Notamacropus eugenii: one gene and its partners. The protein of the gene in region 1 interacts with the protein of each later gene in a pairwise test. Links are inferred from orthologs where the notes say so. Each region holds a gene or a part of one and is shown in the gene's direction. Other genes may lie near its edges. The genes, in order: RPIA, PCMT1, ATPAF2 and PTPN11.

Region 1 (7,615 bases):
CCACTTCGCCATCTAGACTCCATTATACAGTTCTACGATTGTGGGGACCAATACAAGTTGCTGCATTGTCTCAGCAAAGTGAAGGCCTTGCATTTCACTCAGCAAGAAGTCAAGGAGCAGGTTCATCCCTGCAGGGCCTGAGCATATACCCAGTTCCATGGAATCACCCATTTTATTTATCTTCTAGTATCCACAGTCAGCATCAAATTGGACAATATATCTTGGTACCATGGTCAGTCTTCATCTTATACACCCACAGACAGGTGGTTAGATCTGATTCCCCAAGAGCTGGAGATCCTTTTCTCCTCTTTCCCCCTGTCCCCTGTCATGGCCAGGAATTAAGCTCCAGTTAGTCCTTCCCTATCTGAGTACCAAGCAGTGAGATAAATGATTATTTCTCCCTCATATAACCAATTATTGATTTAGGACCAGGATTTTTTCAGAACTCTGTAGGTTGTTAAATCTCTGAAGGTCACTGCTGATAATGATACTGAATTAACTTTCTCCTCTTGGTTCTTCGGACCCCACCCAACCTTACAAAGAATTTAATCAAGCCCATTTACTCTACACAGTTTTGGGTGGGGATAAATTCTTTGATTAAATTCCCTAGGCTGGGCAATTGAGAAGTAAATGATGTAATCAATTACATCCCCCACCCCAGCCCCTCATTAGGTCTACCTCTCATTGTAATATTAATTTTCTCCATTAATTGTCAATCAATCAGAGTTGATTGACACCCTCAAGAATACCCACTCTTCCAAGGGCATGTAAACTGTGAGCCCACCACCATGATTCATCTTCAGTCTGAGATAGACAGTCAAGCGACCAATCCTTTTATTAACAAAATGCTAGCATTATTAATAAAATGACTAATTACCCAGGAACCATGTCTCGAACTTTTTAAACATCACAGTAGCATGAGGGCTCATGATGGGGCAGAGAAGATATTGGGGGACAAAGGAGCTTAGGAATTAGAGACAATTGTGTCCAACGCTTTGTTCTATAAAGGAGTAAACCAAGGCCCATAGAACTTAAATGACTTTATCAATTAAAAAAAAACCCCAAAAAACAGGAGGTAGCAGAACTAAGATTTGAACCCTAGGCCTCTAAACTTCAGGGCAGCTAGATGGTGCAGTGAATACAGTGCCAGACCTGAAATCAGGAAGATCTGAATTCCAATCTGGTTTCAGAGACTTTGCTAGCAGTATGACCCTGGGCAAGTCACTTAACCCTATTTGCCTCAGTTCCCTCATCTGGAAAATTAGTTGGAGAAAGAAATGGCAAACCACTTCAGTATCTTTATTAAGAAAACCCAAAATGGAGTCAAAGAGAGTCAGACACGACTGAAATGACTGAACAACAACAAAAGTTCTCCACCCCATCTCAACTACACAGTTAAACTCTTGATCTGATCATCTCCTGTAAGTGTTTAATTTCCAAGTTCATGATCTCTTGAATTCCCTCATCTGATCATAATTTAACATCATTCTACTTCTCCTTCTGCCTTGTAACCCTTAACAGTATTCCTCATAACAATCTCCAATCCCTTTACTTCTCATTTTTTTCTCAAGCCATCACCCCTTCATTAGCTACATTCTCCTCCTTTTCTTATCTTGACCCCTTTGGGATCCAATTAATGTCTACACTGTCTTCTTGTCCCACTTTTCTATCAAAGATCTTGCCCTGCCAGCCTTCAACCATGGATTTGTTGTTGCTGCTGAGTCATTTCAGTTGTGTCCGGCTCTCCAAGACCCCACTTGGGGTTTTCTTGGCAAAGATATTGGAGTGGTTTGCCATTTCCTTCTCCAGTTGATTTTACAGACATGGAAATTGAGGCAAACAGGGTTAAGTGACTTGTCCACACAAGTAGTGGGTTTGAGGCTGGATTTGAACTCAGGTCTTCCTGATTCTAGATTTGGCACTCCATCCAGTTTGACAAACAGCCATGGGTTATTCATTCCCAGAATTCAATATCCATTGGCTTGGCACAAACTGCTGAACAGAGCTGAAGAAATAAAAGTGATTTTTTAAAAAAAGATATAGAATAAACCTTTTAAAATGTGTTTTAGATTTTTGTCAGGAATATAAGTCAAGTTGCCCGGACCATATAGTTTGCAGATTTCATCTTTGACCCCTTTTTGAAAACTCCTCATGATTTAGAAGTTGTATATTGATTTAACTATTCTAGAGAGCAATTTGGAACTATGCCCAAAGGGCTATAAAACTGTGCCTACCCTTTGATCCAGCAACACAACTACTAGGTCTGTAATCCTAAAGAGATGATAAAAAAGGGCAAAGGGTTTGCATGTACAAAAATATTGATAGCAGCTCTTTTTGTGGTGTCCAGGAAAGAACTGGAAATCAACTGCAGAAAGCCTGAACAAGCTGTGGTATACGAATAGAATGGAATACTATTGATCCATAAGAAACGATGAGCAGGCAGATTTCAGAAAAACCTAGAAAGACTCGAATGAACTGATGCTGAGTGAAGTGAGTAGAACATAGAAAACATTATACACAGTAATGTGTGATGACCGAGTTTGACAGACTTAGTTCTTCCAAGACAGTTCTAAAAGACTCATGAAGAAAAAAGCTATCCACATATCCACATCCAGAGAAAGAACTGTGGAGTCTGGATACCGATCAAAACATACTATTTTTAATTTTTTGTTGTTTTTTTCCCCCTTTTTGTTCTGTTTTTCTCTTCACATGACTAATGTAGAAATATGTTTAACACGATTGCACACATATGACCTATATCAGATTACTTGGAGAAGCAATGGAAAGGAGGGAAAAAAATTTGGAACTCAAAATCTAATAAAAAATGAATGTGGAAAAAAATAAAAGAAAAAAGAAAGCTCCTTCTCCAGGCCATTAGCATTCCAATCCCTTTCCACCAGTTTGGGCAGTTATCACATGTACCAGATCTCAGCACTCTAGAATGTGGCAGCTGTGTGACTGCTGACGTCATGGAGTTACATACTGCCTGACCTGCAGGTCCCTTGGGTTCCCCCCTCCCTGTTAATTTAATAGTAATAAGGCAGCTAGCTTTAAAGTTTGTGAAGCACTTTATGAATATTATTTCACTTAATCTTTGGGAAGATTTATTGCGCTTTTACCATGCTTCCCACGCCTCTCTTGACAGATGAAGGGACTGAGGACCATGGGTCATCCTTTCAAAAAGGGGTGGGAGATGGAAGTCCCTGTGGGAGGGGGTTATCTATATAAAAGGTGTAACGTTTAATCCGATGAGAAGGTGCCTGTAGCTCCTTCCCTCCCTCAATCGCCTCCACTGCCCCATCCCCAGGCTGATGAATTCCACGACCTTCCCGCAGGCCCCAGCCCCCCACCATCACCCACGTGCGCTCTTCTCCACGTGGAAGGCGAAGTCGCGAGGTCTTAGCGCTCTGGTGTCTGTGGCCTGGGCCCCATGCCTGGGGCCTGGCACTTAACAAAGGCTCTTCCCTCCGCTCATTTATTCGGTGCTCTGTTGGCGATTATTATTTAATTTCTTCAAAAGTAACCTCGGGGGGTTGCCCGCTTGGATAACCAAAGCACTTCCAAGGTCTGCGAAGCCACGTACCAATGTGATCTCGTTTAATCCTGGCAACAACCCCGAGAGGGAGGCGCTATCCCCCCATCTTCACACTCGGAGCTAAGCCTTTACGACTGTCTCAGGGTGAGCGTCGAGGGCTGGGGTCCAGGCCAGCGCTCTTTCCACCGAGGGCACGCACGCCAAAGGAGGCTTGTCCTTGGGGGCCCCCCATTTCATAGGGGGGCACTGGCGGCTGGATCAAAGACCTTGGTTCAAATGCACCTGCCGCCCCCCTCGGCGTGGTGACCTCGGACGAGTCATTTAGCTGCACCTGTACAACCGGCGCGTGCTTGTGCGCACCGCCTCTGGTTCCAAGGCCGCCTCGGGGCTCAAGCACGTGAGCAGGTGTTCTCAGACCAGGATAGGATAAGCCGGGGCGTGCCCCGGACAGCCGTGAGGCCGTAGGCGCGCTGCCTTCTGGGGCTGGTAGTCCGAGCTCCCGGACAGTTGCGGGGGTCTGCCCCTCTCCCGAACTACATTTCCCAGCGGCGCCGGCTCGCGCGGCGCCCTCCCTCCTGAGCGGGCCCGATTTCCGGGGCGGTCCGGGGCGGGGCGAGCCGAGGCAGGCGCGGCTGGGCCGGCGGAGGCAGGGATGCAGCGCCCGGGGCCCTTCAGCACGCTCTACGGGCGGGTCCTGGCCCCACTGCCCGGGCGGGCCGGGGCCGGGGGCGGGGCCTCGTCCGGGGGCGGGGGGAGCTGGCGCGCGGGAGAGCCGCACGTGCCGCCGCCCCAGCGCCAGCCCTCGGGCGGGGGCAGCGGACACTTAGTGGCCTCGGCCGCGGCCCCGGCGCGCGCTCCGCTCGCTCCCGCTCCCGCGCTCGCTCCCGCGCCCCCGCTCCTTCCCTCACTCGCCGCCCGGACCATGTCCAAGACCGAGGAAGCCAAGCGTCAGGCCGGCCGCGCGGCCGTGGAAAACCACGTGAAGGTGAGTGCCCCCCGCCCCGGGTCAGCCTCCTCCGGGAAGCCCTCCAGGTTCCACCCGGGGCCGCGCCGTGGAGAGCGCCGCTGGGAGACGAGTTCGAATCCCGCCCCTGGCGCGCCCAGGCTCCGGGAACCCCGCTCCCAGTCTCAGTTTCCCAATCTGTAAAAGGCGAGCGGGGAGGGTCTCTTGTGCCCGGCAGCCTCCGGTCCTAGAATGGAAGCCCCTCGAGGGCAGGCGCCCCAGCGTGCCCGCCACTGGTGGGATGGAGGGGGCCAGAGGCGGCCCCCCGGAAAGTTGGATTTGGAGGGGAGCAGGGCGGGGCGGGCGGGGAAGCCCCCCCAGTGACTCGGGGGACCCACGAGGCGGGGGCGGAGCGGGCCATGTGGCGGGCCCCGGCCTGGGCGGCTTCCTCATCCGCACACTGGACCCCGGGGGTTTGGGGGTCCGGGAGCGTGTTGGGAGGTGAGGCGGGGCAGATCCCCCCAGCTCCAGGTGCCGCTCGGTCCTGTTCCTCGGCCTGGTTCCGGCCCGGGTCCGAGGGAACCTGTAGCCTGCTTACAGACTTGGGCGGGGTGAGGCAAGGAGGCCGCGGGGGGCGGGGGGCGGGGGGCAGGGGGCGGGCCGACCTTGGCCCGCAGTGGGCCGGGGTCTGCCGAAGTCCTGGTTTTTCTTCCCCCGCCTCAGCCCCGAAAATGCCTGTTTATAAAGATGTGAGCCGGCTCCCGAGAACTGTTTGGGGAAAAAAGTTGGGCGGAGCCCATTTCCTTGAGTTAATTTACAACCGATCAAGTTAATTATGTCCATTATCCCTCCTGGAAGGAGAATATCCCTGCCCCGTGGGAGTTCCCGGGCTTGGTCCTGCCCGGTGCCCTGGCACCCTGGCAGGCACCCCATTTCTGCGCCTCCGCCTTCGGAAGGTGGTGAATGTGCGGGCAGGACCTCGCGCCTCGCCGGGTCGGGGGTCCTTGCGTGGCCAGTGCTGTCCTGGAGTACCCGGGGGGTGCTGGGGTGTATTCAGAGCAGAAGAGGACCCAGACTCGGAGCCCCCTCCCCTTTTAGTCTATCCTGCATCTTAAAGCAGATTCCTGTGGGGTGAAGTTCTGATCGTGTGCGCGCCCGCGTTGGCAGAGTCGGTAGCGAGGTCTAGCTCTTTTGGGGCGACAGAAACCTCCCCTCCCCAGCAGGCTCCTGGACCCCTGTCCGGCCTTCTGCCCATCACTGCCACCGGGCTCCAGGGGGACTTACTGGGAGGGGACGTTGGGCTTGGCCGTTCTGACTGGCTCCCACCCTGCTTCCTTTTATGAGATGTTCAAGCTGTTCAGTCCCACTTCCCTTTGAAATTCCTGTATGTGTTCATCGGGTACTTAACTACCACCAGTGGGCAAGGGCACTCTACTAGGGGCTCCCTCAAATCAAAAAGGATCTCTTGGAGATCTTTGTGGGAAAGTTTAAAATCATTTGTTGATCAGTTGTTTAAAATCGCGTCCAACTCTCTGTGACCCCTTCTGAGGTTTTCTTGGCAAAGATACCCGAGTGGTTTGCCATTTCCTTCTCCAGCTCGTTTTCCAGATGAGGAAACTGAGACAAACAGCAAGTAAGTGACTTGCTCAGGGTCTCACAGCTAGGAAGTGCCTGAGGCCAGATTTGAACTCACAAAGATGAGGCTTCCTGCTCCATACCTAGCGTTCTATGTACTGTCCCACCTAGCTGCCCCTTACAGTTAGACCCACCATTATTATCTGTATATGCATTTATCATGGGGGAGGAGGAGGAAGTAGTTGAACATAAATTTAGTTGAAAGCCTTGAGATCATCTCTAATCCTCCCCCCACCTCTACCATTTATAGATGAGGAAACTGAGACCCTCAGCACACACAAGTTGTAACAAGGTATTCTCCAGGCTTTTTTCTACACTTTAGTGATACAGGTTGAAATTCATTCGTTCCGCCTAACCTTTGCGCCCTGTTATCTGTGTTGGGAGCCCACTCCCACTCCAAGTGCCAAAGTACTTACTCAAGATCTTATTTAGATGGTTCTGAGCCGTTCAGGGGCTCCATGCAGTGATTACAATGTCATCTTTGGAAGAGGAGCCCCTGGACATCTTCCTTATTGTTCTCCTCACTATCTTCATTGAGTTCTTCTGCTTGGACCCTGCCCCTGATAGCCTTTGCCCTTGGTAAACATTTAATGTATTTCATTCATTCATTTGACTTTATATGAATTTCAGTGGAGCGTGTGGGCCGTTCATGGGTTATCCCTTAGGTTCACTACATGACCAGCCCCATCCTGACCTTTCAGGTCTTGGAGAACAACTTTGGCTTCTTCTCTTGGACAGTTCTATGGCCCATTGTTCCGTGAGTGCTCCTCAGCTTGTGTTCTTAGGAGAATGTAGATTTCCATGGCTTATTGTAAAATACAGCATCACCAGAAGACTGTTTCTGTGGAAAAAAGATAGGTCTTTGTTTCAGGGAGAAACTTGGGGTCATTGAGAGAACAGCAGCAGTCCATCCCTTTCTCCTCCTGTTGAGCTCTGGGCTTAACCCATTGCCCACTCACAAGGCCCATACCAGATTGGTATTGGTAGCAGGGCTGACCGTCCAAGAGCTGCATATCACTGCCCGATTAAAGGGCATTTTCCATTGACTTTTTCATATTGTTGCCTGGTCAGTGGGCATTTTCCATCTACTTTGTGGATGAACCTATTTCTTTTCAGTGATTGTAGATCCACATTTAGGAGACTCTGAGATGTTCAGTGGCTTCTTAATGCTGTGATCTCAGTGGCATTCACAATCAGAACGTCACTCACCATCTATACTATAGATTCAGTAGGAATTCCTTCTTTTACTAGTTGCTTTGAACTGAGTGTCCTCTATGACAGTAAGCCTTTTGCTTCCTTGACTTTATGCCTTATTCCTCATCTAATATTAATAATCAGAGAGACATCAAAAATGTTAACTACTTCTGTCAATATCTTTCAAGGATTTTTCCACATGCATGGAAGCCACCATGTTGAAAGAGAACCTTTAGGTGGTGTTTTGCTCGACCAAATCAAATGCTTTTTTATGGTCAACAAACAAATGTAATGAAATCCTAAATATT
Region 2 (7,942 bases), on another chromosome or scaffold:
AGCAGTCCTTAGGGCCCTTTGCCTTCACCTCTTTTTAAAGAAACCAACAGTTCCAACTATATACCAATGGAAAACAAAACAAAACAAAACAAAAACCACATGGTAGGCCAATGTAGAATGTCTACACATGGTCCAGTCTTCCAGTATCCAGAAGTGGGTACCCTAGCATGTGGGTAATGCCATCTGAAGTGGTCTACGAATGCTTGAAACCCTTATTACAACAGGAAGAGAAAGTGTGAATCAGTTGGGATATGCATAGTTGCAGAAAGTACCCACAGTGATAAGATCATGGACCCATTAGATTATGGAAGTATTAAGATATATTGAAAACAGATTCCTTAAACCATTTAAAATTATATAATCTCTAGTATGGGTTTTCTCTATATATTATTTAGCATAGTCCAATTTCTCTTCCTAACTTTATTTCCTTGATTGCTATTTCTATTTTTTCATATTATACATCAGGTACTGAGATTTGGAAAAGTCAGATGTGTAATTTCCACTGTCAGCTATGATAAAAATAGGTTATTAGCTAAGAGAACTACTACTACTGCTACTACTACTACTGCTACTACTGCTACTACTACTACTACTACTACTACTACTACTACTACTACTACTACTGCTACTACTACTACTGCTACTGCTGCCTCTGCTGCTCTTACACCTACTACAGCTGCTACAAAGGTATCTCTAACAGGTAGCATGGCATGGCAGATAGAAAGCCAGAAGACTTGAGTTCAAATCCTGCCACCTACTATTTGTGGTGGGCTAGATAAGTCATTTAACCTCTCAGTGCTCCAGGCAACTTTCCAAAACTATATACTTTGTTGAACAGGAGCCTATCTGCATTGAGAGAGGGAATTTTCACTCTAGCAGTTCTCTAGGCCAATGAAATGACAAGCTTAGTTAAAAAGAAAATTGTGTGTTCTAAATAATATTTAAAGATTTTCCCCTATGTTACTTTGCACAGGATACTTTGAGTCTTTAGTGTCTCACACATGATGAGATTTCAAAATGATATCACAAAATTGTGTCATGGTCAGCAAATTTTTTAGCAGTGAATATATGTGATTTTAAAAAAATTATTATATTTTATTTTTTCCCTGAATTACATGTTAAAGCACTAACATTTCTAGTACAATACTGAATAACAATGATGATAATGGACATCCTTGTTTCACGCCTGATCTTTTTGGAAATGCTTCTAGTTTATCCCCATTACATATAATGCTTGCTGATGGTTTTAGATAGATGTTACTTATATTAAGGAAAACTCCTTTGATTCCTATGCTCTAGTGTTTTTAATAGGGATGGGTCTTATATTTTGTCAAAAGCTTTTTCTGCATCTAATGAGCTAAGCATATGATTTCTGTAATTTTGTTATTGATATGGTCAATTATGCTAATAGTTTTCCTAATCTTAACCAGCCCTGCATTCTTGGTATAAATCCCACCTGGTCATAGTATATTATCCTCATGATAAATTGCTGTAATCTCTTTGCTAATATTTTATTTAAAATTTTTTTCTGTATATTCATGAGGGAAATTGGTCTGCAATTTTCTTTCTCTGTTTTGGTTCTTCCCAGTTTAGGTATCATCACATATGTGTATCATAAAAAAGAATTTGGTATGACTCCTTATCTATTTTGCCTATTTTTCCAGATGGTTTATATAGTATTGGAATTCATTGTTCTTTAAATGTTTGATAGAAATTCACTTGTAAATCCATATACACTTGTAGATTTTTTCTTAGGGAACTTTCTAACTTTTTTATGACCAAATTATCTATTTTCCATTTGTGGTGCTCTCTATTTGGTCACAAATTCTTTCCTAATCCATAGATCTGACAGAAAAAGTATTCCCTGCTCTCCTAATTTGCTTATGTCACCTTTTTATATCTAAATCATATAACCATTTTGACCTTATCTTGATAAACAGTGTGAGATGTTGGTATATATGTCATTTCTGCCATACTGTTTTCCAGTTTTCCTAGCAGTTTTTGTGAAAGAATTTTTTTGTGAAATAATGAGTTTTTGTTCCAAAAGCTTGGATCTTTGGGTTGATTACTATGGTTGTTTACTATAATATAATATGTACCTAATCTGTTCCACTGATCCACCACTCTATTTCACAGTTAGTACCAGATTGTTTGATAATTACCACTTTATATAATACTGTTTGAGATCTGGTACAGGTGAACCACCTTCATTTTTTTTTTATTGATTCCCTTGAAGTCCTTGAGGTTTTGTTCTTCCAGATGAATTTTGTTATTTTTTTCTAACTCTATAAAATAATTTTTTGATAGTTTGATTGGTATGGTACTAAATAAATAGATTAATTTAGTTAGAATTGTCACGTTTATTATATTGGTTCAGGCTACCCATGAACAATTGATATTTTTCCAGTTGTTAAGATCTAACTTTATTCGTGTGAAGTGTTTTGTAGTCATATAGTTTCTAGTTTTGTTTTGGTAGGTAGATTCCCAAGCATTTTGTATTGTCTATAATAGTTTTTTTAATGGAATTTCTCTTACTATTTCTTGCTACTGGACTACACATTGATTTTTTAAAAAGGAATACTGAATTTTTTTAAAAACAATATTTTTAAAGTGTCATTCTCTGCTACATTGTTTTCAGCCCTATTTAACTGCCTTCCTTTGCCCTCACTCTTTTGAGCTACGATTATTATTGTCATTTCCCTACCAACCCATCACTCTGTTCTTACTCTGAACACTTATGGTCCATATCCCTCCTTTGCCAACGTATCATGTATTGCTTTTAGCATTAGTCATCTTCTGGTAACTTACACTTTATGTCTCCAACTAGATTATAAACTACTTGAGAGCAGGTTTTCCCAGTACCTAGCAGAATGCTATTCAAAAAAGGGAACCATGAAGATTTTCCTTTTTCAACCTACGATGATGCTGGCAGCTATTTTTCAGCAACAGCTTACTAAGGCAGGACATGCTAATCTAATCCATCTAGGTCAGCTTGGAAGAGGGTTATCAGATTCCTGAGAAAGGCCTCTAGGGCCCCTCCAGCCCTCCTCCCACCCCCAGCTGAAAGAACAGGTAGCTGCAGAGAGATGTAGTAGGAACCTATTGAGTTTACTGAATTCTCCAAAAGACAACTTTATTCAGTCAACAAATATTCATTGAATGATTACAACTAAAAAACTGTAAGGCACCCAATTATTTCCGTCATCAGAACTCACGCAGCATGGTGCGTTTATTTCACCCCTTTGTGATATGTACTTTTTCGTTTGTGGTCACAGAATCCCCAGGATAGTTTGCGAGCAGGTATTGTTTTCTCTGTTTTGCAGATTGGGGAATAGATTTCCAGTCGCCTTTCTGTGACTGTGAGAGAGAGCCAGAAAGCTTGAGGCTGTGCGCAGGGACTTGCCAAATGCTTACCTGCAGCTAGACTGCATTCAAAACTGTTCATTGATGGGGTTCTGGAAGACCCTTGTGGCAAGCAACTTCAGAGCAGGTTGACAAGAGCTTTGGATGTGGACAGGATGCCTGGGCCGGGTTCCCTGCCTGCTCCAGCTCATCTACAGTAAAGCTGATCACCGCAGAGCTGGAGCCCAGGCCCACTGTGTCATCTGTGAATCTTAATTTGCTGAGACTGCATGCTTGTCAGGGAGGGAGGAGCACACATCCCAGGATAATGGGGCGCGTTTATCCTCTTGGGGGTGGTTGATACACTTGTATTTGGCAAACTGTAGTCTGGGCTGCCAGCACAATTACCCCATTATCTGCTTTCCACTCCCCTCTCCAAGCCTTGCTTCCCTCCAAACAAATGCAGGGGTTTAGGGTGGGGTGGGTTCAGTAAAAGGATGGGGCAGTTATGCAAAATTAGGGGGCGAAAATGGTTCTTAAACATTCTTTTTGTGCCACACTTGTAGGCATGGAGAAAAGCAATGGGGCTTTTGGCGTCGGGATGGGTTCCAATGCCTAACTCATTGATTTACTTGGCCAAGTCAGCATCACAGCTCTGCAGCTAGCAGGCCTCAGAAACCACCTAGTTCGGCTTCATTTTACTGACGGTCCCAGAGGCCCGGGGCGGTCACCAACCTGCCCAAAGGTGCCGGCAAACAAGGGCGGACCCAGAGGACCTTCGGGAGCTCCCTCCCAGCTTTAACGGCATCAATAAAGCTTAGCTTAATTTTGATGCAACAACTGCCACCACCACCAACAAAATCACACGTTCCAATATGGAATAAAGTGTTAAACTCTCAGCAAAACAAGACAGTCCGTGAGCCTTTGTTCTGTCACCCCCGGCTGAAGCTCCGCTGCCCCGGTTAGTGCGTGATTTCGGCCACAGTTCGCATTCACCGGGACCAAAGGAGCTGGAGGGAGGGCCCGCGACAGGGGGCATACAGGGCGGGCGGGGCAAGGTGCGCCCTGCCTGCCGGTGCGTGGCCGCCCTCCGTCCCTAGTCCACCGCTTTAACTCGAGGCCAGGTCACTTTAAACCCAAAAAAGGAGGCGGTGGGCAGCGCGGCTTACGGGAGACCTTGAGGGATGCCCTTTCCCTCGTCTTGGCCGGCTGTGGAACCTGGACTGAGGTGCGGCTACAGCACCACCCGCCAGCCCTGCCCTTCGGCGGGCTGTGACATCCCCGGCCCAGCGAGGGCGCCTCGGAAGGGCCCCGGAGCCCCAGGGCCGGCCCCCGACTGAAGGAGCACTCGGCTGGGCACGAGGAGGAGCGCCAGGGGCTGCCCGCGACCTCGCTCTCCGAGGCCGGCAGCTTGCACAGATCGTCCTTAAAATCCCCAGGAAGCGGAACGCGGATGTCCCTTTCCTGTCCAGACTAGGGCCTTTGGCCAGGCAGCGGGGGGAGAGCTCAGAGCAAAGGGGAGGGATGCCACCGGGGTGGGGGCGGGGGCGGCGGCACTGGAGAGAGCGTAGGGGCCGCTGAGTCAGCCCAGGTTTTTTTTTTTCTTTTTGCAGCAGCAGCCGCCGCCTCCAGCCCCACCCGAGTGGGCCTGCTCCGTCACAGAGCGCATGCGCGCAGCGGGGGATGTCGGGAGCGCGCAGCGGCCCCGGGGGCAGTAGCATCGGCGGCGGTGGCGGCGGCGGCAGCAGCAGCGCCGGGGACGCGGACGTTGACGGGGCGGTGTCGGTGTGGGAGGTGGTCGAGTTCCTCGCGAAGCTGCTAGGCACCGCCGCCGCGCTGAAGCTGGTTCTCTACGTGTTCCAGGCTTGCCTCGCGATGGCCTGGAAGTCCGGCGGGGCCAGTCACTCGGAGCTCATCCAAAATCTCCGCAGTGAGTGCCCCAGCCGCCGCCGCTTGCCCCGGCCGGGGGCCGGGAGCCTGGGGAGGGGCCGCTGGGGGGAGGGCCGTGTCACCGCCTCGCCGGTCCCGGGGGCAGCAGCCGCCCTTCCCCGGCGGCGTGGTTGGGGAAGGCGGCTGCGGCGGCGGGTAGGACAGTTGGTGGCGCCCTCCGAGCCGGGCCACACGCACTTGTAATTCCCTCCCCGGGGACCTGTCACCTGGGGGCGATCGGCTGGCGACCGGGACCAGCTCGCGGCGAGCCGGGGATCGGGGGCGGCCGGCGCAGCGTGGGTGGGACCCTCTGCGCCTCGGCCCGAGAGGGGACCCGGAGAGGCGAGCCCAGGCGGCGGGGCTGTCACTCAGCGCCGGTGTTCGGCGTTCTCCTCGGCTCCGGCTGCAGAGGGGCGTGCCTGGGTGCGGGGCCGCGCGGAGTCCGGAGAGAGGAGTCGAGGTGGGAGTGCTGGGGCGGCTTGCGACCGAGCCCTCCTCGGACCTCCTGGGCGGTGCAGTTTTCCCCGAGTCGTTACCCACCCCCGCCTCACCTCGTCTTGGACCTCCCCCGGCCGCTGGGAGATGCTTCTGCCTGATGAGCCTCAGCCAGATTGGGGGGAGGGGAGGAGATGCTCGGGCTCCTGCCCCAACCCGAGAGCTCCCGGGAGGGGATGGGGGAGAAGGTTCGGTTTGGGCAAATGCTTCCCCAGCCCCGCCGCGGGGAGTCTTGCCAGCGGCGTTCCATCCTGGAGCTTGGTAATGAAAGGCCCCGAGATGAAAAGCTTGCGAAGGATCCTGAGACAGTTCCAGCCCACCTGGGTGGTGCATTCTCGTGCCACAGTCTGGACTCCGCTGTTTTCTTTCCCCTCCTTAAGAGCAAATTTTCTATGGAGATTGGTGGTTCCTTAAACAAAGCCCGTACAATCCCTCTTGAAGGCCAAAAGGACTGTTTCCGTAACCCAGGTCAGTTCACAGGGATCTGACCCCACTTACTTGTCTGTCGGAACTCAGCATCCATTTGGCAGTTAATCACCTTCAGCCTCATAGAGAGTCTTTGAGCTTTCTTCCTGTTTTTCCTTTGGCTCTGTAATTTGACTGTGAACTCCTTGGGGGAAAGGGGGTGGTTTTCATACTCTTTCCTCTCTTTCCACATTGCCTCAAAGCACTTTGAACACCTGTGAGGATGCTCAATAAAAGTTCGCTGATTGAAATATCAAGAACACTTTTTCACAGCTCTTAGAGTCTGGCATTTGGCCCACTAGAAACAGAAAGCTCTGGACCAGTCAGAAGACCCGTGTTGAAGTTCGAATTTCACTGCTTAGTTGCCAATGTGACCTAGGTGCAAGTCACTTATTCTCGTTAATCTTAGACTCAGTTTCTTTATTTGTAAATGAAGATAATGGGACTAATAATAATTTTGCTACCCAAATCACCAAGTCGTTTTGAGGAATTTACGTTGCAAAATGGACAGCACTTTTGATTTGTAAACTATTAAAATAATCTTGTGAGATAGGTAATATCAAATGTGTTTAAAATATGTGCAAGTAATTTGCAAGAGTGAAGTTCTCTGTCAAGGTAAGCTATTAATAGTAGTAGAAATTAATGCAAATAGATATTTTAAAAATTCTCACAAAATATTTCATTTGAAAATGTGCGAGGTTTAATAGCTACTTTGCTGCGTTTTTTCATTAGGTGGATTGTACAGGTGCTCAGATTTCTAGCGTTTCTCGCCATTTCTGATATTTACTGAGAATAATCTAAATGTTTGCTCATGAAAGAGCATGTATTTTTTAAGTGCTATAAAAGAATTGTAATTAGGTAATAGTGTTCTGCTGGTAGGTTATCCGGTTAGAGACTTGGCTGTGGCAGAAATTTGTAATCAATCAGACTCTTCAGTCTCTTCTTTTAGGTCAAATTCAGGGTTAGCCAAGACTAGATCTACTACCTCCATGTATATCCTATTTCAAGTACTTAGCTGAAAATTTTAAAGATGCTTTTCTATCTAGTGGCTAGGTGATATTTAACAGAGAGAATGTTGGCCCAATGTGCATTATTCTTTGTTTTTAAATAAGTGATATATTTCTTTAGGAGGAAATTAGAGTAGATAAGTTGCTTTATCTTTTGTAACACTTGTGCAACTTTAAGTTTCAACCTCTTACTGATGTAATATTTTAACTCCTAAGATGCTATTTTTGAGAGGTTGGTAATGGGATCATACAGATTTGAGGATGAAAAAAGACCTGCAAGTTAGAAAAAAATGAAATGAGAACTTTTAATGATTTTTTAAAAAATTAGATTTTGTTGTGAATTCTATTATAAACTTGTGTTGAAAAATATCTTCTTTTAAATGTTGTTATTTTGCCTTGCAATATAAACATGAAACATCATTTGTGTTTGCGTAATTGGCATAGCCATATATTTTTGGTTCATTTTAGTATTTGGGCATATATATGACCAGATTGATGGGAGTCTAGAAAGTTGGAAAACACTGTAAGTAGGATAGTAGTTAAGTTAGCAACTTTTTGCGTAACTACATTATGCAGTAAGTCAGTTTAAAGTCAACAAGCATTTATTAAACATCAACTACGTGCAAGGAATTGTGCTTGTCTGAATATTCCAGCTTTAGTTATTAGGTGATCATGCCAGTGACTGTTCAGCCAACTTCACATGT
Region 3 (8,273 bases), on another chromosome or scaffold:
AAAGTATTAACACATTCCCTTCTTTCTTAGATAAATAACGATGAGAATAATTTAACATTTTTTTGACACAAAGTCATCATTATGAATGTCAGCTATGTACTGAAATACAGTGATACTTGTAGAGGTTACTGAAGTTAAATAGGGCAATTTGCCCTTAAAGAGAAATGTTCCTAGGCCATTATGCCTTATTTAGTTCATGCTCATTGGACTCTAGTTTGAGAGTTTTGTGCCTCCTCCCTTTCAAAGAGGTATCTTAAGCAGACAGCTGCTATCAACCCTTCTTTTCTGCTTATAATCTACTGTTTCTGGAGAAATCAGATATCCAAGTCTGTTAGCAATGGAGACTACAGCCTCTAACTATGTCTCATGGTTTCTCCTGCATCAGTCTGTCTGTAGTTCTGTTCTAAGAAGGTTAGATTGCTTTCAGACTTAAATACAAAAACATGTAAATAGGTTCAATGATATGCTGTACACTTGCTACAGCTTATGGCTTCATAAAGTCAAAGAATTTTGAGCTGGATGGACTTTACTTCTCTCAACAATTTACAGAGGAGGAAAATGATAAAGTATCTGCCCAAGACATTTGCCTATGACTCTCCTGACTTTTTAAAAGGATGGACATGACAGAGATAGGTCCAAGACTTCCATCTACTGACACATAACCAGTTGGCTCAAAACACTACTTTTAAGACCTTTATTTTGGCGCAGACCTTAATATGTATCCTGCCTAATGGTATCCCAAAGAACACAGTAACTCTTTTAAGACTAACTCCTTTTTTGACCTATGCCTGTGTGATGTCAAGGTAGCAGACTTTAGGGAGCACTTTTCAATAACCATCAGGCATTAGCTTTCTCTAGCCAGTTATATATACATAGGAACTGAAGAAAAGCCTCTTAAAAGATGATCTAAAACAACATCCTGTTTGTAACTCTTTCAGTTTTAGTTATCTCTTTCAAAATACCTCTGTACCCGTTTCAATTTCTCTATACTAAATTATCAGTCTCATGATTAAACAGTTTATTCATATGTTCCTAGTCTGTCCATTATTTTATACTAGTCACCATCTTTTATCATTAACATGAAACTGGCAGAACATGATGCATATGTATATGATGGGGCTACTAGTAGCTGAAATACTATTTTTATGTCTTAAGAGCAAAGTGTTAGAAGCACCAAAAAAATTAAAATCATAGGAAACACTTTGAAGGAAAATAATTTTTATAACTTGTTATTTAAATTATAACAATTTGTTATAATTTTTATTATAACAACTTAAAAGTTTAGTTAGCAACACTAACTAACCAGAGAGGTTAGATGTCTATATTTCTGAGTTTAAAACTACCATAGCCATTTTAAAAATAGACACATGGGATATTTTTAAGAACCACAAAACTCCCCACAACACCAAAATTCAAATGTTAAGAGGTATTTGGAACATCTTTGTAGCAGCTGGGAAGATAGGGAGATTAAAGAGATCTTGTGAATGAAATACAAACACTTAGAAATTTTATATGTATACCCAGGAAGAGAAAACCTGGGGTTCAAATCCTATCTTAGCCCCTTCTCATCTACGTAACCCTGAGACAAGCCAAAACCTTCCTGGGCCTCTCACTGTCCTCATGTCTAAGGCTGGTTGGTTCAGTTCTAGATCTATGATCCTATGTATCAAAACAAGTCTTCTACAGAGCCAAAACATTTGAGCACGGTTTTATGTGACTACCATACTGCATGTGAAAACTGTATTTTAAAGGCTTTCATGTGTTGCTAACCTTAGGAATCCAGCACTGTTTCATGAAACCAACCTGCTGCAGGCTGCAATAAAGAACTTTTACCATAACAATATATATATATATTTGTATATTACTTCACAATGATAAAGTGCTTTCACATATTTCTTGGAGTCATATATATTATTCTGGATGGATCATCACAACTGTGATATTTAGCATACATACTATTTTCACTTTGTGGATGAAGAAAGAGATTAAGTCTTGCCTTTCTCAAGGTCACAGCTGGTTAGTGGCAGAGTTGAGTTAGGTCTTTCTAATTCTAAGACCAACAATACTCTTTCCACTACACAGCACTGCCTAAATTATAAATGACATATAAAGTTCTAATCTACAACCTTGTCTATATATGCAGCACTCAATGAAAAAACATATATGGGGGTTTAACAAGTGAAGGAAAGATACCAGGGTGACATGGATATTGATGAGATGGGCTGTGGTTGTTTTGTTTTTTGTTTTTGCATCTGTGACCTGGCTAATATATTTTAAGAATAACAAAACATCAAAGAACCAGAATGTCCTACATTCAACCCAATACTTCATCTATTCTGTTTAAACTGACCATTATGAAGCTTGGAATTAACAAGGAGAAGATTAACAGTGTATATTGTAACTAGAGTGTAGATGAGAAAGATAAAAGAACATGTTTAGCAAAAAGGAGCCACTCAGCACATCTGGACACAAAGGTGCTCTCTTTATATTCCTTCCACAGTGTCCTAAGATTTCCTTTGCACTTGGCTTCTTGGATAGCAAGAAGTACACTGCAGCAAAAAAAAATGTAGACCCGGTAAAATGCATGATATGATAGAATTCTTCTCAAGGCAGAACCTCAAGAATGAATACGGTACAAGCAAACAGGCCACAGGGACAGAAGTAGCCAGGTCCTAGCTGATGGAGCAACAAGAATGCTAGCTTGATGAACGAGCTCACCATCCACCTGCAGAACAAGCACAGCCTTTACCTGACATGACTACAATCCACATTAGAAAGTTCCGTTTGAGCTAAGATGTCTTATAGCCAGCATCCATGGGCTTCTACTTTTAGCTGTCTTAAAGTTCCAGTCCTCATCCTGATCTAAAATATCAAATTCAGCAGACTCATTCTTATCCTTTTCCATGATATACATCCTCACCTGCCCCAAACTTAGGTTGTCCTCAAATGTGGAAAAAGTGAATTATTGAGATTAAGGTCCCAAATTAGAAATCAGGGTCACAAAGAAGACAAAAACATTTTCATCTTTACAATTTATGGCTAATCTCTAGAGCTCTCTTTCACTAAGACGATTTCTGCGATGGGTTGTAAAAGACATTCGCAACTACGCTCTAGAAAGGACACAAAATTTGGGAAATGAAGAGAAAGCCTATTATATATTGTTTCTAAAATTCAGGAAGAGCACAGATAAATCACCACATTTTCTCTTAATATAAACAATATGACAAAGGATAGCAGCTAAGTTTTCAGGCCTGAAAGAAAATCATCTACCTTCCCTAAGGGAAGAAAAGAAGAGAGGTCCTCTGGTATATAGACTAGGCTAACTAAGAAGAAAATGGTTAAGGCAAAGTGCACTGGACATCTTCCCATTCCAGGAAAGGAGAATAATGATTTCCACAAGACAAGGAAAAAAGGTTTGTTTTGCGCTCAAGAACAGGGGTCCCTAATCTGGGATTCATGAACTTGTTTTTAAGGTGTCTTTTGACTAAAGGCCTATTTGATCTGAGGCAAGATGCTAGACCCTCTTAGACCAAAGAAAAAGGCATGAGTAAGGAGCAATCAAGATTGTCCATCCCGTTCACACATCCAGGACAAAATTTCACATCACCACCCTGGGCAAATTCCTCCTAAGTGGCACGGATGTGCCAGGAAACATTTCCAAAGCCAGCTCAGGGAGAGGAGGTGATGTAAGAGGCAAGGAGGACCTCTTTAATAGAGGTTCACAGAGAGAAGGAATGCTGTCTGAAGGGAGGGGAAGCTCACTGGGGGGACTAACCAGACCTCTTCCTCAGGAGAAGTGGGAGTGGTTGTTGGTCAGGTTATGAAGAGGAAATAGAGGCGAGGTACGGAAGAAAGTTGCCAGGTTTCATGGGTTATTTCAACCAGGGAGCAGGTCCCCAGATGAGGAGGAAATGAGCAGGTTCTCCAGGGATCAAAGCCTTTCTAATGAATGGGTGTAAGGCAGGAGAAGAGGATGTTCTGTGCAGCAGAGAAAGGTGGAGATGAGGGTGGGGTGGGGCAATATCAGGAGTGTCGGGGCGGGGGGCGGGGGGGTCCTACGGACAGAAAAGGACAGACTGATGTGGACAGAAGGAGAGCGGTCAGTGGGTGACTCAGGGAGGCCCCGGGAGGAGGGAAGGACAGATATAAGATATCGGGGGGCACGACGTCTGGTGGGGGTGAGGAAGGACCGAGTAGGAAGTCCGGGGACAAGAGGGGAGCAGAGGCCCCGAGGTGGAGATGGGGAAGGGAAGGCCCCCGCAGCGGTCGGGGGGTGACTCAGGGAGGCCGGCCTGGGGTGCGGAAGGACAGACGTCTACGAAAAGGGGGAATTGGGCCAGAGAACTAAGACCCTGCTTGGGGGGGAGCCCCCCACCCATTGCTGGGGGTGTCAACAATGGGGGGGAGTTCCAGGGGCCGGGCATGGGGGCCTGAGCACGGGTGCGGACCAGGAAGGGAGGCCGGCCGCGGGGAGGCCCGGGCCGGGCCGGGCCGAGGAGGCCGCCCGCCCGCCGCCCGCCGGGCCGGTACCTGCAGCACCACCTCCACGTCGTACGAGTTCCCCTTGCTCTTCTGGTGGCCGCGGAACTTGGAGCCGCTGTAGAGGAGGCTGGTGGCCACTCCGGGCTGCTGGGTGTTGATGGGGGGCGGCGGGATGAGGGACGCGGCGGACGCGGCCGAGGCTCCGGCCGGCGGGGGGCACTCGGTGCGGACCGGCATCTCGGGGTCCCCCGGAGCCAGGGCGGTGGGGTGGGGGAGGGGGGAGGGGAAGGGAGAGGAGGGGGGAAGGGAAAGCCGGGGAGGGGGGAGAAGCCGCCGCGGCCGCCGCGCGGGAGCCGGAGGAGGGCGGGCTGACCGAGGGGGCCGGGCGCGCGCAGGCGCGCGGGATGAGAAAGGGAGGGGAGGGAGGGAGGAGAGGGACGCCCACCCCGCTATTGGCCGACAAGCTACTCTAGCCGCCGACGGGTGCGGGAGGACTAGAGAACGGGGGCTCCCCCTCCCTGGATGCCCCCCCCCACCCCGCCCCTACCTACACACTCATGTGCGCACGCGCACACAGACACATACCCACCCACCCACACACATACTTACACTCATACACACATAAGCTAATTCAGGCCAATTGGCTCTGACCCGGTGAGGGGGCGGGAGCAATTTTAGCCGCCGCTTCTTCTTATTGGTTGGCGTGAGCCACACGTGTCCAGAGGTCGAAGGCCCGCTGGGATATGTAGTCTTTGCCTAGAGACGGAACGAGTTCGTGACGCTGATTGGCTGGGAGGGCTCGAAGGTTAGGGGACCGGCCGGTAGTGGCTCAGGGTCATATGGCGGTGGCCAAAGGAAGTTGAACTCAGCTAGTGGTGGGAGAACTCTGCAGGCGGGTCCGGTGCAACTGCCCCAACCGTGAGAGGTTGCGGTCTTTCTCCTTCACGCCCTGGGGTCCCCTCCTCGATTGCTCCCTGTCCCCGCCCAAAGGTGCTATGTGGCGAAGCTGCTTTCGGCTCGGGGCCGGAGGCGCGAGCTTCCCACGCCGTCCTTGCTTGGTCCCTGCCGCCCCCGTAGAGCCGGGGGACCAGGCCGCGCCGGCCCCGGGGCTCTGGCTCCTCCGCCGGGCTTACGCCCCCCCCGCAGGTGAGCGCAGGCGGGAGGCCCCGCTGCGGCCGGGCCTGGGCCGCAGGTAGCTCGGGGGGGGCCGGAGAGGGGCACCCGCCATGGCGGGATGGACGGACGGGCCCTGCAGCCCAGGGGTCACCTATTCCAGGGAAAACATGTGGAAGCGTGTAGCCCTAATGTATGGAGGTATATGTGTGTGTGTATATATGGATATAGATCTGCTTATATTTGTATCTGTCTGTCCATTCAGACCTACATCTGTCTGTGCCTATAACTAGGCATGTGTAGATTGAGGTAGATCCACGTAAGTAGGTGTATGTGTAGATATGTCTAGTAGATTCACCCTTTATAGATGTGTATAGCGATATGTACATATATGAAGATAGAGGTATAATCCTATTATATATAATAAATTACATGTATCACTGTACATGGTCCCAGGTTCAGTTAATTTGGGTTTTAATGGTAAATTTACCTTGGGAAAAAATTGACAAAGAACAAAGTGGAAACAGTGCATTTACTCACTCAATCTTCATACTCGCTTTTCGGCCCTATCGATGATATACTGAGGTATTTTTTGGTTGAAAGTTGGCTAGAAAATTTCTACTGCAAGTTAAAATCTGCAGGTGTCTCGTTTTAATATTTTTAATAAATGGGTTCAAAACCTGCTGAAACTTTTCATTTAGAAGATTTTTAAACAGGTTAGAAAATTGTTTCCAAAGCTGTTTAGGTTTTTTTTTTTTTAACTTTGAAGATATGAGAGTTTATAGATGACAACATAGCATTTTTAGCAACAAAATCACATGATGGAAATATTTCCAACCTTCCATTTTCCAGTGCTCTCTTACATTAGTTCTTTCAAAAACCATTCTCATTCTTAAAACATTAAAACTCATTAAAACATCACCTTTATATTGAAAGAACAGATTCAAGTTAATTTCTTCTTAAATAACTGCTAAGTACAGTACTATTTCTGACAACCACTTTCATAGCAGAAACTATCACTTTTTTTGCTAAAAGAAAAATGTATAACATCTGTAAGTTTGGTACTTGGTTATCACTGGCTATTATATATTATCTATATTATCATATATAGTATATATATAACCAGTGAACACCTGTATTGTACAGCAGATTTTCTGGTTACTTCCCAATCACATTAAACATACATACTGCTGCTTTCTCAATAAAAACAAGCTAGAGTGATTTAGTAATAGTGATCATTTCACTTTTCAAAACTTTGATGTGAATGTTAAGGGTGTGAATTAAATATTCAGTCAATTTGATTGATGTGGCTAACCAAACAGATGAATTTTAATATTTCTCCTTTAGAGGATAGGACTATCCAAGAGGCACCAAACCATCATGAGGTGATCTGGGGGGCAGTGTATGTGTTTGCTGGGGTTCGGGGGATTGTGGGAGATGCATTGACATACCTGCTGGGATTGATTGGTTTTAGTGATGGAGTAGAAGGGGAGAGGTTTAGGAGCTGAAGGCAAAGTGGGGTAGTGTTGGGCAATAATGGTTGAAGGGGGTGCTGGGGTTGTGTTTGAGAGGTGCCTGATGATTGGATGTCTAGGCAAAGGATAGATGTAACCCATCTTCTGACTGGTTGGTCGATTGGTCGTACTCCACTTCCCCCTGCCCTTCCTAGTGGATTGTCCCATACATTTTCTCCTGATTTTTCTTCAGATTTTTCCTGGTATAGAGGAAAGCAGAGATCTTTATGAGTTCCTGTAGATGAATTCTGACAGCTACTTTGCCACCTATTCTCTTGGCAGCAATTCCTTATCTGTAGACTGTCTTTTCTAACTTGAAATATATGATTGATGTCTCCCCTTTCCCTCTCTATACTGCAGAGGGGGCAGGGCAGGGAGAGAAAGGGAGTTGGCCTGGCCAGTTAGTGGCCAGTACTCTTTACCCTAATATAGTTGCTATGGGAAAGATTTCTGATCTGTCTCCACTACCTAGAAAATAATTTACGTTGACTCATTTAGAGTTTTTATCATATAAGGGAACTTGGTAGGAAATTTACTCTGTGGAAAATTCATCATGTGGCAGATCTTCCTGAATGAGTCGATGAATGAATGAAGCATTTATTAAGCACTTATCATGTATAAAAAAACTGTGGATATAAATAGAAAAGTAAGCCATTCCCTCCTTCCAAGGAGCTCACATTCTCCTGGGGAAACTCCATATGGAAGGTTTCAGCTACAAGTCAGATTGAAAGGTCCCCTGGTCCTTAGGGTACAGCAGCAAAGCAGATGGTGATGATTGATCTTCAATGCCATTTCCACTGACAAAATCCTATCAGTTTCTGTGTTGAACCATTTGACACTGGATTGAAAGCACTACAGTTCCAAAGAGAGATGTTGGCTGACCCAACTGGTCTGTGATGCTTCCTGTCTCTCCTTCAGAATGCCCTGCAGCTTCTTCTGAGTGGGCTTGCTTGACCTCCTCCATCCAATAGTTTCATATTCAGTCCTATTCAGTTGATCTGAAAGAACTCAAAACAAAGGCAGTCTAATGCTTTGTGTTTGCCCTGTGTCTTTCCTCCAAAGAGTACACAATCTAATGTTGGAAGGTCATGGTTAAAGGTGATCTTTTTGGTAAAAACAGATCCTACTATGTGCTAGACACTGAGGCAAGTTTCTGCCATAGAC
Region 4 (7,894 bases), on another chromosome or scaffold:
GGGCAACTTCCTGGCTCCAAAACCATTTTTATCTCTTGTCTCTTCTGATCTACTTGCTTGGATTTTCTTGCATCCTGACTCCCTCACAAGACTTAGCATCCAGTTAACTTTCCAGGAATACTGTAAATGCTTCCATCTTGTCAGAGTCAGCACTGAAATATCATCATCACCTACAATGCTGCACACACAGGCTCATGGAGGATGTATTTCCAGGGAGAACATGGCCCCCACAACATTAAGGAAGAAAATCGTAGTATGAACATGCATTTATACAGCACCTTAAGGTTTACAGAGTACTTTGTAACACTCTGAAGATACAGTTCAAGCAAAAGAAGAGGAACCTTTCATTTTTTAATATAATGGAGTTGTTAGGTTTCTTAAGAGGAGTTCATCTAATTTAAGAGGAGTCCAACTAATGGGAAATAACATATTCCTGTCCATGTCATCCCGATGTAATTCCTGGAAGAGGTGAAGTTTCACATCTAAGTTTTACCTTATAAGCTAATAATACTTTTATGATATACATATAAACAAATAATACTATTATACTAATAATGCGCTCGTTGAGTTCACCTGTGTGACCTTGGGAAAGTCTTTAGGTCTCAGTTTCTTCTTCTGTACAATGATAGTTCCTTCTAGTTCTCATATTTAACAACTACATCTTTTTAGTAGAGAGAACATTGGGAGAGAAGACAGAGGGCTTGGATTCAAGTACTCACTCTTTGTGACAACGCGCAAGCAATTTCCCCTCTCTGGTCCTCAGTTTCCCTGTGGTGGGAGCATTAACTCATGGGAAAATCCTAAATTCTGCTCTCATACAAGTTGGGATAGTTTTAGATACTGAAATTGTCCTTGAGATTTGTTTGGCTAAGACAGCTTAAAGGCTTATTAGGCTTTTAAACATCATTTCCTGGTCAGTAGAGTCCAAAACAGCCGAGAGGACCAGGATTCCCTGTTGCTTGGCTGGCAGAGCATGATGGTCAGCTCATACAAGGTCAGCTCAGGGATTCCTCAAGCCACATCCTTGTTGAATATTCTTCTGCTATGGCTAAGTAAATCTCCTTTTGTTAACTCTTGAATGACCAAAGGGTAGGACATAATGTAAGAAAAATGTCGTTATCTGCAATCAGAACTGGAAGGAACCTTAGAATAAATGAGAAACAATGTTTTTAACTAGAAGGAAGGGTCTTTAGGGATTATCCAGTCAAACTTCTTCATTTTGACTATAAATGTATAACATATATTTAAATATTAAGTTAAATATAAAACATATAAACATTAAGAGGGTGTGGCATGATGGCTAGAGAGCCCAGGAAGACTTGGCTTTGGTCCTGCTTTGGACACATACTGACTGGGAGACTCTAGGCAAGTTGCTTCACCTAGACCTGCACTGGGAGACAGAATTTCCTAGGAGTTCCTTATACCAATGAAACCACAGGTTCTATCTAAAATAAAAATTGAAAAAAAGAACCCTCATACTCATACATAGCACTTGCGTAGCATCATCTCATAACAAAGAGGACAATTATTTTTAGCCTCAATTTACAGATGAAGAAATTGAAATTGTGAGAAGGGGAGTAACTTACACATGATCATATAGCTGCTATGTAGGTGACTTGAGCATTTATATAAAAACAACCAAATAGCTCTCATTTATATGTTGCTTTGTGGTTTGCAAAGCCCTGTACCAATATTCATTTTATCCTCACAGTCACCCTGGGTGGTAGGTCCAGGTCTAGTACTCTTCGTCATTACACCAGGTTACCTTTGAATACATGAGCAGATCTTGTGGTTGGTCCTTCATTGGACCAATGACATCACAAACTGTGACGGGTGATGGCTTGACTTGCTGACTCCAGAACCGATGCTACTTTTCTCCTCTGTTCTACAGAGTCTCCATTTTTTGGTCTTAGAAATATTTTGCTCCAGTGATTACTAGGGGATGAAATACTTTGTAACTATTAATTCTCCAAAGAAGTTCTGTGGCATCAGATTAAAAATAAAACTAATAATCTACCAATTCATGTGACAGTAGACTTGGCTGAAGTACAAAGAGGGACAAACTTGGAGTTAGAGAGACCTGAGTTTGATTCCCAAGTTAGATTAAGGAGCTATCAAGTAAAGGTCAAGTTACTTAACCATTCTCAGCTGTAAAATAGGTATAATAGCTCTTTCCTCACAGAGTTGTCTTGAAGGTCATATACTAATATACACAAACAGTATCACAAGCTTTAAATTCCTATGTACATATTAGCTTATCACTATTATTCAAAGTTCAAAGAGTATTGAAAGGAAAGGAAGGAAATAAGTACTTCCATAGTGCCTACTCTATGTCAGGTGGGCAGCTAGGTGGCACAGTGGATAGAGTGCCAGGCTTGGAGTCAGGAGGACCTGAGTTCAAATATAGCACTAGACACTTAAAAACTGTGTGGCCTTGGACAAGTCACTTAATACTGTTTGCCACAGTTTCCTCATCTGTAAAATCAGTGGGAGAAGGAAATGTCAAACCAATCCAGTATGTTTGCCAAGAAAATCTTCAGTGGGGTCACAGAGAGTTGGACAGGACCAACAGACAACAATATGTGCCAGATGCCACGCTAAGCACTTATTTTAACGAATATTATTCCATGACAAATAATTATCTCATCACAATCCTAGGAGGTATGTACTGTTAATATCTACATTTTACAGTTGAGGAAACTGAGGCAGATAAAGGTAGATAGAGGCCAGGAGGTCACCTCTGCTTTACAAAGGAAGAAGCTCAGGTTTAGGTGACTTGCCTAGGATCACACAGTAAATGTCTGAACTCAGATCTCCCTGACTCCAGACTCAGGGCTCTATCCTTTTCATCAAAGAGCTTACGAAATAGAAAATTTAAGAAATCTCATGTCTTAACATAACTAACAGGTTAACCTAATATTTCTATAACTCCCACATAAAAACGTACTTAGCAAGTGTTTGTGGGAGTATTAAGATCATTTTTCAAGCAGGCATTTTTGGCATTTGAGTTCTAACATCACGATTGCTATTTTTTGATCTTAGAAATCCTTTGTTCTGGTGTTATTTCCACTTTAATAGAATGTCAAAGCTGGGAGAGCCTTTAAGGACAGAGAATGTCAGGGCTGGGAGGGGACTTAGAACAAGGGGTGCCAGAGCTGGGAGGGGCCTGAGAACAGGGGATGTCAGGGCTGGGAGGGGCCTCGGAACAAGGGGTGTCAGAGCTGGGAGGGGCCTTGGAACAGGGGATGTCAGGGCTGGGAGGGGCCTTGGAACAGGGGGTGTCAGGGCTGGGAGGGGTCTTGGAACAGGGGATGTCAGGGCTGGGAGGGGCCTTGGAACAAGGGGTGTCAGAGCTGGGAGGGGCCTGAGAACAGGGGATGTCAGGGCTGGGAGGGGCCTTGGAACAAGGGGTGTCAGGGCTGGGAGGGGCCTTAGAACAGGGGGTGTCAGGGCTGGGAGGGGCCTTGGAACAAGGGGTGTCAGGGCTGGGAGGGGCCTCGGAACAGGGGGTGTCAGGGCTGGGGGGTTCTTAGAACAGGGGGTGTCAGCTAGATATATACAACTCCTTAAGGTTTGCCAATAACTTTACCAATATGACTTCATTTTATCTCATAACGTGTTTGGGAAGCAGGTTCAATTCCGTTCAGTAAGCGCGCATTAAGCACCTACTACGCGGTGCGCAGCAGGGATACAATGAAGCAACCTGCAGCGCCTGGCCTCCAGGACTTACAGTCTAGGGGAGGAAACCCCCAGATCCGAACAGCACCGGCCCCGCAGGGCAGGAGGGGGAGCACGTGGCGGAGGGGAGGCTCACGAGGGGCTTCCTGGAGGAGCTGGGAGAGTCCGGAGGCAGGGGGCTGGTAGGCACGGGGGCAGCCCGAGCCGAGAGGTGCCCCCGGGGCCAGGTTGGGCAGTGAGGGGCGACGCCTGCACAGACAGGCTGGGCTGGGCTAGGAAGGCCCATGCTGGAGGGCTCCTGCAGGTAAGAGGGAGCCGCGGGAATTGACTGAGTAGGCGCCTGTGCTTTGTCTCCCATTTTACAGATGAGGAAACTGAGGCACAGGTTAAATGTCTGGCTCGCCCAGGGTCTGACGCTGGATCTGAGCTTCCAGACCCACTCTCGCGCCCACCTGCCGTGTGCCAGGCACAGAAGGGGGTGGACGGGAAGCTGGGCCGGCACAGCGTGTACCCTGGGAGCCTCCCGCGGGCCCAGTGCCTGGCACGTGGAGGGCGCTGGCTCGGAGCTCGCGGATCCTCCTGACACCAGAGCGCCCCCTCGCGGCCGTTTGCTTCGGGGCGGCCCAGGCTGGCGGGCGGAACCCCCGGCGCGGGGCGCAGTTGCCTGCGCAGGGGGAAGCCGGAAGTGCGCGGCGCGCGCGGCCGGCGGGAGGCTTTTGGGGCCGACCGGCGGCCTGGCGGGAGGTTGGCGTCGCAGGCCGATGGCGTCACTGTCGCGGTGCCGGGCGGCGAGGGGCGGGGGCGGAGGCGCGGGGGAGCGGAGCGGAGCGGAGGCGCTTGGGGGGCGGGGGGGGCGGCTCGTCTCTAGTCTCCGGGATCCCGAGGCCTGGATGGCGGCCGGAGCGCCGCGGGCTCCGCGCTAACCCTCGGCCCGGCCCGGCCCGGCCCCTGAGGAAGCGGATCCGAGGAGGAGCCCGGGAGCGGGAGGAACATGACATCCCGGAGGTGAGCGCCGCGACCCCCGCGACCCCCGCCCGCCCACAAAGCACCGCGCGCCCCTCCCCCTCCCCGGCCGCGAGACCCCCTCCCCCACCGGGCGGGCTGGGGGAGGGGCAGTGGAGTCTGTTCTCTCCCCTCCCCCAGCCGCCTCTTCTGGCTCTTACCCTTCTGCCCCTCCCCCGCCCCTCCCCCTCCCTCCACCCTCCCCGTTCCCTTTTTATCCCTTCTCCCTTTCCCCTTTCCCCCCTTTCTTTCCCACACCCCTTTCCCCTGTCTTTTCATCTTTCTCCTTCTCCTCTTTCTCCCCTCCCCCTCCCTCTGTTCCCCCTTTCCCTTATCTTTTCATCTCCACCTCCTCTTCTCCCCTTTTCCTTTCTTTTTCCCCTTCCTCTTTTCCTCCCTTTCTTTATCCCCTCTTCCTCTCCTCTTCCCTTCCCCTTTCCCTTTCGATTCTTTTTTCTTCTCCCCTTTTGCTCTCACTCTTCTTCCCCTTTTCTTTTCACCTTTCTCCCTCTCCCTCTTTCTCTCTTTTCTGTTCCTTCCCCCTCCTCCCTCTCTATTATTCCCCTCCACTCTTTCTTTCCTCTTCATTCTTCCCTCTCGTCTTCACTTTCTTCTCCCCCCTCCCCCTTGTGCTTTATTGTGAGGGTCAAATGAGAAAATATTTGTAAAGAGCTTTTCACCTAGTAGACTTTTAATAAATGCTTATTCCCTTCCCCTCTTCTTTTCCCTTTTCTCTCTTTTTTCTCCTTCCGTCTCTTCTCTTTCCCCTCTTTCTTTCCCTTCTCTCTTTCCTTCCTCTCTTTATTTGTCCCTCCTTTCTCCCCTCTTTTTCCTCTCTCCTGGTGAGCAAAAACTGTCTTTTTGTCTTTCTTTGCATCTCCAGCATTTAGCACAGTTTGTTATCTCTCTTCTGTTTCCTTTTTCATTTTCCTTCCTTCCCCCTCTTACCCTCCTTCAGGAATCTGCTGCTCTTGCTAGGTGTGGGGATCTCCTGATTCCCTTCTGTCTCCCCAGGAATGTCCCCGTTTTCGTTTCCCCTTCCCAGCTGTGTGTCTTTCACTTTCCTCTATATATTTAGTTTTTGGTATTGGAAAAATAATAAACACCTTTTCATGAGGTTTAAAGCACTTCTCATAATAACCTTGTGAGATACCAGCCTTATTATTACCATTTAATGGAGGAAGAAACTGAGGCTCCCAGAAAGGAAGGAACTTGCTCATGGAAATATGGAAATACTGCTACTAAGTGTCAGAATTGGATCTTCTCCTCAGGTCTCTTCGTGGAAACACTGATCAGTACTCCTTTCCACTCTACCTTCTTTTCCTCTTGTTTTCATCCAAGGGGGACCAGGGTAGAGACTCTGCTCCCAGCTGCTCTTCTCTTTTGTGATCTCTTCATTCATTCCACTCTGCTCTAAGTAATGACTCTTTTAGTGCCTCCAAGCTGGAAGGCAGGGATTGTTTATAAGCAGAAGATACAAAGCTGAAGTAGGTCATGGTTGTGCACTACATTCCTTACTCATTGCTTCATGAAAATTGCCTAATAATTATTCAGAAATCACAGCCACCCTCCTTTGGGGGAGAGGTTCTTGGTGCTTGTGTATGTAATAATGCTCCTAGTTAGCCACTCTGAGGCAGTGCCTCTCTGGACTGGCATTGGTTAGGCAGACCCGAAGTAAGCCTCGAGGTAGTTTTAGGTCCTTTCCTCAGGTTATTCATGTCCAATTCTTGGCAACTGTCAAGCTCTTTCCTCTTCTGGACAGAATCAGTAGCATTAGTGAGAATTGGTGTCAAGGTGCGTTGGGTTTCTTAGATGAAAAGATGTAGGCTGAAGAATGAATTATTACTTTCTAACTATTATTAAGCTTGTACAGTCTGTACAGGGCACTTCGTTGCCCTCAGTCAGACCTATCATTACTACCAGATGTTACTAATCCTTTATGGGTTGTACTGGCTATAGACCCATCTTTTTTTTTGGTTGATGACTGCTCAGTTTTGTTCAGTCCCAAAACATCACCACTCTTTTGTGATGTTTAAATAATAGCATTGGGACAGGGTATGATCCAAATGGGAAGCTTCTTAAGAAATTAGGAATATTTCCCTAATACTCTTTCTCTCAGTCTTTGTGTCTTTCATTCTGCATCTTTGTCTTTCTATTTGTTTCCGTGATTGTTTGGGGTAGGGAAAAACCAAACCTGGAAACTTTAGGAAGCGAATGACCTGGGCAGGTGTGATGCCAAGCTCTGTCAGATCTGGGTGCATTTCAGCAAGACGCTGTGTGGCTGTGGCCTAAAGTGTCCTCTCTCGGAGCCTTTGTCTGTGTGTTACTTCATCTATCAAAGTAACCATTGAGCCTTTGTTCAAGGTCTGCTATTCTGAACTAGGAAGGAGTTGCCTTTCTAGGACATGAAAAGCATGGGGGGAAAGGGGGGAGGGGGATGTACAGGAAAGGGTCTCCTTAGTAAGAGTTGTGTTGCCTGATGATTTTGGAAACTGCAAAGTCTTAGCCAGGTGAAGCTGCCCAAATGGTCTAACTGAATTTTAAATGACGGATAGCCTGCTTTTCCTCCAGTTCGCTTCTGCTGTTGAGAAGAAAACTGTCTAGTTAACAGCAGCACAGGAATAGTAACTGTGATAGTAATCACTGTCAGACAGCCTAGAATGCTGGACTTGGAGTCAGGAAGACCCGAGTTCAAATTCTCTCACACTAGCTGTGTGACCCTGGGCCAGTCACAGTGCTTTTTGGAGCTGAGTCAGTTTCTTCCCCTTGTCTGCAGAGTCCTTCCTCATATATTATCTACATACATCCTCACGATCACTTCAGGAGGTATTATTAATCCCCATCTTGAAGAAATAGAGGTTCTGAAGTGAAGTGATTTGAGTCTGTACACAGCTAGTGAATGTCTGAGCCGGAGCCCAGCTGGAGTCCATCCACTTGTTCCAACTCCAGCCCTTTTTCTCCTCCCCTCAGCTGTTCAGTGTGGGATTCCCTTCTCATCTCAGAGAACTGGAGGGATTGAGCCATCCTTGCTTAGCCTCCTGGTTCTTGCTCTGGTTTCATGACAGTGGAGGTGTGACTCCTCGCCTATAGTTTGCTTCACTCTGTGGAATTCCTCATGCAAAAATTCCTTTTTCTTTTGAATTACTCCCCCCCAAGCCTTTTCTTTTATCTCTGGTTGTTTAATTTAGTTTGAGGCTGTCACTAGCGGCCTTGT

What was found.
Region 2: the proteins of RPIA (region 1) and PCMT1 interact in binary tests that used the Homo sapiens proteins (3 or more experiments, as listed by UniProt). The two-hybrid records come from large-scale screens. The link is inferred for Notamacropus eugenii from reciprocal best matches to the Homo sapiens genes RPIA and PCMT1.
Region 3: the proteins of RPIA (region 1) and ATPAF2 interact in binary tests that used the Homo sapiens proteins (3 or more experiments, as listed by UniProt). The two-hybrid records come from large-scale screens. The link is inferred for Notamacropus eugenii from reciprocal best matches to the Homo sapiens genes RPIA and ATPAF2.
Region 4: the proteins of RPIA (region 1) and PTPN11 interact in binary tests that used the Homo sapiens proteins (3 or more experiments, as listed by UniProt). The two-hybrid records come from large-scale screens. The link is inferred for Notamacropus eugenii from reciprocal best matches to the Homo sapiens genes RPIA and PTPN11.

The regions. Positions count from the first base shown.
Region 1 is NC_092872.1:724,333,416-724,341,030, reverse strand, and holds the start of RPIA (ribose-5-phosphate isomerase), read left to right. Parts: upstream 1-4,151; 5' UTR 4,152-4,187; coding exon 4,188-4,520; intron 4,521-7,615. UniProt on the Homo sapiens protein: Catalyzes the reversible conversion of ribose-5-phosphate to ribulose 5-phosphate and participates in the first step of the non-oxidative branch of the pentose phosphate pathway.
Region 2 is NC_092873.1:241,815,564-241,823,505, forward strand, and holds the start of PCMT1 (protein-L-isoaspartate(D-aspartate) O-methyltransferase), read left to right. Parts: upstream 1-4,511; 5' UTR 4,512-4,526; coding exon 4,527-4,570; intron 4,571-4,955; coding exon 4,956-5,272; intron 5,273-7,942. UniProt on the Homo sapiens protein: Initiates the repair of damaged proteins by catalyzing methyl esterification of L-isoaspartyl and D-aspartyl residues produced by spontaneous isomerization and racemization of L-aspartyl and L-asparaginyl residues in aging peptides and proteins.
Region 3 is NC_092874.1:335,298,399-335,306,671, reverse strand, and holds the start of ATPAF2 (ATP synthase mitochondrial F1 complex assembly factor 2), read left to right. Parts: upstream 1-5,207; 5' UTR 5,208-5,477; coding exon 5,478-5,628; intron 5,629-5,681; exon of another isoform or gene 5,682-5,708; coding exon of another isoform or gene 5,709-5,796; intron 5,797-7,686; exon of another isoform or gene 7,687-8,273. Other genes in the region: GID4 (glucose-induced degradation protein 4 homolog), read right to left, coding at 4,531-4,719. UniProt on the Homo sapiens protein: Plays a role in the assembly of the F1 component of the mitochondrial ATP synthase (ATPase).
Region 4 is NC_092875.1:33,753,737-33,761,630, reverse strand, and holds the start of PTPN11 (tyrosine-protein phosphatase non-receptor type 11), read left to right. Parts: upstream 1-4,396; 5' UTR 4,397-4,669; coding exon 4,670-4,683; intron 4,684-7,894. UniProt on the Homo sapiens protein: Acts downstream of various receptor and cytoplasmic protein tyrosine kinases to participate in the signal transduction from the cell surface to the nucleus. Positively regulates MAPK signal transduction pathway. Dephosphorylates GAB1, ARHGAP35 and EGFR.